2 linked regions of the Ovis aries genome follow. The protein of the gene in region 1 purifies or fractionates together with the protein of each later gene. This does not show direct contact. Links are inferred from orthologs where the notes say so. Each region holds a gene or a part of one and is shown on either strand. Other genes may lie near its edges.

What was found.
Region 2: the proteins of MAPK9 (region 1) and DUSP16 purify together in Homo sapiens (affinity purification with mass spectrometry; 6 studies listed by BioGRID and IntAct, with this or other methods). This does not show direct contact. The link is inferred for Ovis aries from reciprocal best matches to the Homo sapiens genes MAPK9 and DUSP16.

The regions. Positions count from the first base shown.
Region 1 is NC_056058.1:773,798-777,613, reverse strand, and holds part of MAPK9 (mitogen-activated protein kinase 9), read right to left. Parts: exon of another isoform or gene 2,250-3,816; intron 2,032-2,249; coding exon 1,849-2,031; intron 450-1,848; coding exon 325-449; intron 1-324. UniProt on the Homo sapiens protein: Serine/threonine-protein kinase involved in various processes such as cell proliferation, differentiation, migration, transformation and programmed cell death.
Region 2 is NC_056056.1:202,976,781-202,980,596, forward strand, and holds part of DUSP16 (dual specificity protein phosphatase 16), read left to right. Parts: intron 1-206; coding exon 207-370; intron 371-3,816. UniProt on the Homo sapiens protein: Dual specificity protein phosphatase involved in the inactivation of MAP kinases. Dephosphorylates MAPK10 bound to ARRB2.

The sequences.
Region 1 (3,816 bases):
CTGGTTGGCTGCAGTCCATGGGGTCGCGAAGAGTCGGACACGACTGAGCAACTTCACTTTCACTTTTCACTTTCAGGCACTGGAGAAGGAAATGGCAACCCACTCCAGTGTTCTTGCCTGGAGAATCCCAGGGACGGGGCTGCCGTCTCTGGGGTCGCACAGAATCGGACACGACTGAAGCGACTTAGCAGCAGCATATGGCCTCAAAGTAATCAGGAGTACTTTTAACCTTAAATCTCTGTGTAGCCATTTCAGACTGACAGAAGATCCAGGGAAATGTATGCCCTGCCTTTACACACAAGTCTTTTCAAAATAGATGCTTACCGCTTCTGCTTCAGCAGGGTCATACCAGACAGTGATATAAGGGTGACGCAAAGCTTCATCTACAGAGATTCGCTTGTCGGGATCTATCACTAACATTTTTGATAATAAGTCTCTGGCTTGACTTGCTAGGGTAAAAACAAATATTAGATTAATAAAGTAACAATTTTATCCTGAGAATTACACAATAAAGAACTAACTGTGACAGCTCAGACAGAACAAAGATATACTAACTCTGAGAAACTGGTGATAAATTCAGGATTATTAGTCTCTTTCTTTAAGAGTAAATCAAGCAGCCATTTCCTAGAAACCAGGCTTTCCAAGGTGCTTTTGCCCTGAGTCTGGGAGGGGAGAAGGACAGGGCAGAAGGCTGACAAGCCATGGACAGGGAGGGTACTGGAGCTAAGCCGAGGGTGGCACTGCCGAGAGTGCAGGCATGAAGCACGGGCAGGCCTTTTCTCTTGATGCCACATCAAAGTGAAACCGAGCAGACTAAGCCACACAACAACTTCATATGCGCATCGTATACAGCAGCTCACAGATATCTCTGCTTCGCCTGTGCTGTGCGTAGTCTCCCAGTCGTGTTCGACTCTTTGCAACCCCATGGACCCTAGCCCACCAGGCTCCTCTGTCCTTGGGATTTTCAGGCAAGAACACTGGAGTGGGTAGCCATTCCCTTCTCCAGATGATCTTTCTAATCCAGTGATCGAGCCCAGGTATCTTGCACCAGGGAAGCCCTCTGCTTTGCCTACCTGTATACAATGTACACTTAAAAAAAAATCTAGAGATTAGTAGCTAGGAAAAAACTCAACAAATTCAATAACTTGGTTAAATACAAGGCTCACCTAGGTTTTAGCAACTAAAATTCACAGGTGGGACCTCCCTGGTGCTCTAGTTGCTGAGACACTGCACTTCTGGTGCAGGGGGCCACGTTCAACCCCTGGTCAGGGAACTAGACCTCACATGCTCCACTTGAGAGCTTGCACGCGCAACCCAAGACCCCACACGCCACAGCAAAGACCCAGGACAGCCAAATGAATACCAAAACCAAATAAAGTTCACGTGTGCAGGCAAAGGAGAGATGGAACTCTTCTGAATGAGGCACAGTTTGTCTTGATGCAGAGAAAACCAAATCTATTCTTTTCCTTTAAACACATTAAAATGTGATGGGCACAGGATCAGGGGAAAAGGCCTTTAAAAATTTCTGACTCTTCAAATGGGCGACAATCTTTATTCAAGTATTCTTTATACCTGGTAACAGTTTGAATTCCATTTGCTGTAACTAATATAAGAATCTTTCAGACTATGTAAATATTTTGACCAGAGGCTTCAGTTTTGTCCCCTTTATTGAGGACAAAACTTCTAGGTCTTTAGGCTTTCTTTCTGAAATGGCTTCATTCTTGCCTATAAATGACTTTGACGGTTTTCAACTATTTCATCTTTCAGTTTTCACAGAGTTTAGAATGCAAACATAAACAGGGCTTCACCAGATTATGAAAACAAGTATAAGAAAAAAGGATATCTTACTTTTAATTTTGTCTCGTTCAGATTCTGATGGGAATATCCAATCTGGAAAGAGTTCTTCAAATTTGATTCCAGGATACTTTGGTCGGTTTTCTACATAATTCCTCACAGTTGGCTGAAGTTTCTTCATGAAATCTGCAGATGGTGTTCCTAGCTGCTCAATAACTTTATTCCACTGATCAATATCTAAGGAGTTTCTTGAGGAAAATACAACTGAAATGCCTTATATTCATATTATATAAAGTTGCATCATTCAAAGAGACACTTAAATTATACTTATCAATGAATAATTAATCAGGACAGCTCCCTGGGTCAGCAGAAGCATTCTGAAATAATATTCAAATAAGGTTTGGGTTCCTAGTTAAGAGTATTTAAAAAAACAAACAAACAAACTCTGCACCATATAAACTCTGGTCACAGTTTATTAAATCAACACAATGAAGTCTTTATGGCTTCCTACTCTAGATCAAAATGAAGTTATCTTGAAGCTGAAGAATGCCTATGACTGAAAGGCTTAAACATGAAAGTAGGTAATAATTATGTAGGCAAATTGAAATCAGTTCTCACAATAACGGGCTTCCCTGATAGCTCAGTTGGTAAAGAATCCGCCTGCAGTGCAGGAGACCCTGGTTCGATTCCTGGGTCAGGATGATCCGCTGGAGAAGGGATAGGCTACCCACTTCAGTATTCTTGGGCTTCCTGTATGGCTCAGCTGGTAAAGAATCTGCCTGCAATGCGGGAGACCTGGGTTCAATCCCTGGGTTGGGAAGATTCTCTGGAGAAGGGAAAGGCTACCCACTCCAGTATTCTGGCCTGGAGAATTCCAGGGACTATACAGTCCATGGGTTCGCAAAGAGTTGGACACGACTGAGTGACTTTCACGTTCACGCTCACATGCTCATTATTAGTGACTTTCACACCTCCACTTCTCGTAGTAAAGCTATGTTAGATATAAAGCTCCCTGAAATAAGGAGAGCTACCTGACTGCTCAATTTACGGCTGGGAACCACCTTGTAGGCTTGGCAGGATGGGGTGCACGAGAGAGGGGGTGGGAGCCGGGGCTCTGGACTTTCTGAGCCCTCATCATGTTATCTCCCACTGTAGCTGGGCTTACATTGAGCAGCGACAGCTTCGAGAGGTCATTCAGTTTTACTTGGTACTGACTCTGGCTATCATTGCAATATAAATGAGTGTGTTTTATTTCCTTTCAAAGTACATGACCTAGGTTTCAGACTCCATTGTGTATTAGTTACTCACTGGGTGTCAGGAAGTCAATCTCCCTTGGGTCTCATCTTCCTATTTGTAAAATGGAGACAAGGCCAGCTTTGTCTCTTTTTCTGGGAGCTTGAGATAACCGGCAAGATGAATGTGGAAAGTGATTCTAAAACCATAAACATTATATAAGAGAACACAAACCAGAGGAATCAAATAAACAAACAGGATCTTAAAGTTATTAATTGAGGTATGTCTTAGAAAAATAAAATGACATTACTGTGAAAGAACCTAGGGAACTAACATACGTTCTTCAAAGAACAAAGGAGGAGGCCCTCTTGTGCCCTGTGATGCCTTTCTTCCTACTGGTACACCACCACCATTTTGCTCTCCACTGGAGCTTTCCATCACCAATCAAACATAATTTTTTCCCCTCTCATCTTAAAACAACAGTCACTTTCCTGTGAACAGTCGCTTTCCTGTGAACTTCCGTAGCTTAGCTTCTGTTCCCGTTTGCAGCAATACAGAGTCGTTTCTATCTTTAATTCCCGACCTGTCATACTCTCTTAACCATTCTTTTCACCCATCATTTCATGAAAACTGTGCCCATCACAGCTGCAGATGGCTGCCCCTCAGCTCTCAGTCCTCACCTTTGTGACAGTGTCCATGTGCCCCCCTCAGTAATCTGCTTCTGGGCCTCCAGGGCCCTGCTTTCTGAGGGGTACCTGGCAGAAGCTTTCTCTTTCTTATAAGCCATGA
Region 2 (3,816 bases), on another chromosome or scaffold:
TGGGCTCCTTTGGAGGCCCTGCAAACCAGGGCTGTTGCTGGCCTGTACCCCGGCGCAAGCAGCTGTAGCCAGGGATCCGTGTACGGCAGGATCCACTTGCATTTGTGGGATTTGCTTTTTCTTTTCAGACAGCTTTATTTGACTGGTTACCAGAAGGCTGATTTTCATCTCTGTGCACGGCATAACTTTACCATGTCTATCCTTAGGTGGGTTTGCCGAGTTCTCCCGCTGTTTCCCTGGCCTCTGTGAAGGAAAGTCCACTCTAGTCCCCACCTGCATCTCTCAGCCTTGCTTACCTGTTGCCAACATCGGGCCAACCCGAATTCTGCCCAATCTCTATCTTGGCTGCCAGCGAGATGTCCTCAACAAGGTGGGTGCTTTGAAAATATCCTTCATTGCAGGATTTCTTGACAGCAGCTGGAGAGGCACCGGTGGGCCATCCTTTCAGATACAAATGTTCTCAAAGCAGCTCCCCAGCCAGCAGCCCAGCAGCCTTACCTTCTCCCCCGTGCTGTCGGCTGTGATGTTCTGTTTGCCGTCGGAGACCTAAGCCATTGTCAGGTGTGCTGTTCTTACAGGTCCAAGAGAGCTGCGACAGGACAGGGATTTTCGGAAGTTTCGCCCCATTTTCTTAGATGTTCTGTTACAGTAGCTGGGCGCACTCAGGAAGGCCAGTGCCATCTAGATTATTTCACACTTAGAAACGTGTGCATTCGCTGCATCAACTGGAAAAGAGCTCAGAGTGGCTTGGATTGAGGAAGAGTTCATGATGACTTCCCCCTTCCAGAGGGGCAGGGGAGGGGGTCAAAAGATGGTGAGGACCAGCGCTTAGAGGATGCAGTGTGGATCCCCTGCCTGAGGTTCCTTGACACAGTTTGGTGGAGACAGAAGAGGGAAGAACATGAATCCTGGATGTAAAGGATGTGGGCCGTCCTGAGCCAGGTGCCCCCAACAGAGGAGCCGTGTTGATTGGCCGAGGCCGTTGTATTTACCGGTACACACATAACAGCAGTAAACTAAGGTCTGTCTGTCTCCACAGTCTATATGCTCTTAACCAGTGTTGCTAGAACACAGGCCCCTAATTGCCTGGAAGGTGATCTGTCTCTAAACCTCTTACTTGGTGGTGGTTTAGTCGCTAAGTCGTGTCCGACTCTTGCGACCCTATGGACTGTAGCCCGCCAGGCTCCTCTGTCCATGGGATTTTTCCAGGCAAGAATGCTGGAGTGGGTTGCCATTTCCTTCTCCAGGGGGTCGTCCCAACCCAGGGATTGAACCTCGGTCTCCTAATTGCAAGCAGATTCTTTACCTACTGAGCTACCAGGAGGCCCTAAATGTCTTATTTACACCACCTCTAATTGAAAAAGCATTCAGAGATCTTAATTCAGCTGCTGGTGATTTATAAGCGCTGCTATCTTATGTAGAAAGAAATTTCTCCTTGAGTAGCTGGAAGAATTGGACTGGCTATAAAAATAAACTTCCAGGCGGGCTTGCTTTAGCACGTGGAAAGCAAAAACATCCTATCATTGGGCAGGAAGGACGCATTCTTTTCGCTACTTTTTTTTTTGCTCTTAAAACCCCTGCATCTTCAAAATTTTGCCTGGACATCATTGTTAATACATCTGCTCTTACTATGAGGCATTTGAAATTTGATAACGCATACTTGCACTGAGCCTTCTGGTGGGGTCATGATGTCTTTGAGCATGTGATTCTTATTAGTCCTCTTTGAGAAATAAGCAAAGTATGTCACAGCGTGCATGCTAAGTCGCTTCAGTTGTGTCCTACTCTTTGCAGCCCCATGGTCTGTAGCCAACCAGGCTTCTCTGTCCAGGGATTCTCCAGGCAAGAATACTGGAGTGGGTTGCCTTTTTAGTCAGACTTAGAAGATGAAGTCTTTGAGAACAAACACCACAAAACCACTAATTTTATTAGTTGTCTTATTTATTTATTTTTAACAGAGTGCCATCTAAGTATCTTAAAAGCATGTCATAGTAATTTTCTTAGGAGAATAATAGTGTTTAACATTTAAAATGCTAGGCTCAAAAAAAAAGAAAATAAAGTGCTATACTCTTTGTTACTGCATTTAACCCTCATAATAGGATTTAGAGGCAGGTTGGCCCTGAGTTGTATGACTTGCTTACCCACAGTTTTGTGACTAGAACGTCATTGACTTCAGAGTTAGTCAGTGGCAGAGATCTTTCTCAAACCTAGTCTACTCTGGCTCTGAGTCCTATGTTTACAGAACACCAGAAATCTTTATCTCCTGCAAAATGGAAATCTCCATAACAGGCTGTTTACAAAGGACTGAGATTCTAATGGTCTATAGAATTTAATCAAAATTTGTTTCCCCTGCTTTTTCTACAGCATAGTCTATACCAGAACCATCCCATAGAAGTAGAATGCAAGCCACACGTATAATCCAAAATGTTCCAGTAGCCCTTTTTTTAAGAAGTAAAAAAAAAAAAGTGAAACTAATTTTTAAAATATGTCTGTCTACTTTTTATCTTATGACCGCACCACTTGACATGCAGGATCTCAGTTCCCCCGACCAGGGTTGAGCCCCTGCCCCCTGCATGGGGAGCGCAGTCTTAACCACGCGGCCACTGGGGAAGTCCCGTGAAATCAATTTTAATAACATTTATCACCCGGTATCAAGAGTATTATTTCAACCTGCGATCAATGTAAAACTTACGGGCGCTTTACGTATTTCGTTACTGGGTCTTGGAAAGCTCGTGTGTGTGCTGTGGCCGCTGCTGCTCTTGCTGTGGATGAGCCACACGAGCCAGCTCCCCCCTCAGACCCTGCAGGCGCATGCTGTGAGCGTGTGACCGTTTTCACTTCTGTCTCAGAGACCCGGCTCTTCTGTAGGAGGCCGTAGGCAGGCATCGGTAGTGAAAAGAACACCCTTCCCCTCACACGTGTGCTTTGTTCCGACACTCTCCTCCTCTCTGGTCTTTGTGCTGGAGTTCCAACAGGAATGGCAGTTGTACTAAAGCAGTTTGCAGCTGCCCAGTTCTTATCTGACTGACTGCGCTTGGAATCAGAGTCCTGTAGTTAAAATGTTCAAGACAAAAGTTCCTGATGCTTTCTCCTCCCTTATCAGTTAAAATTCGAAGTGGACTTCTGTTTCACCCTTACACACGGGATGTGTGATGGAGTTACCTACTGCGCGTTGTTCTTGAGCCTGAACCTGTTCAGCTTCTTCACCCAACTCAACTCTACCCCTCTTTCCCCGTTTTAAACAGGCTGCTGCCAGCCTTCTTTGGGCAGCGTCTCTTTTGTTAATATTTATTTGTTTATTTGGCTGCACCAGGCGTTAGTCGCAGCATGCGGGATCTAGTTCCCTGACCAGGGATTGAACCCAGGGCCCCCCACTTGGAGCCTTAGCCGCTGGCCCAGCAGGGGCGTCCCTGGGTAGCGTCTCGTTTCAGTCTCCGGTGTGCGGAGCTGGCTCTCCTGTGCTGCCAGCACCAGGGCTGCTGCCGCTTCCCCTGGTGTTTCCATCTGAGAGTTAGGCAGGAGCCTGGTACCGTGTAGCCAGATACGGCTTTCAGGTTTCTCTGTGATCTAGGAAGACAAAGGGTCATGTCATCAAAGCAGGCAGTAAAAATGTTTATTGTGTCCACTGTGTGTAGAATGCCATATAGAGTGCAGGTTGGATAGACAAGACCTGTTCATGAGTCAGTGATTCATGAGACAGGTGACTTAGGGCTTGAGTGAGGGCTGGCTTTGCACGGGGTGGATTTGCATCCCAGCTGGTTGGCCTCACCAGGCAGAGCACCTGAGCCAGGTGACGGAATCTGCTTCTTCCCCTGCAAA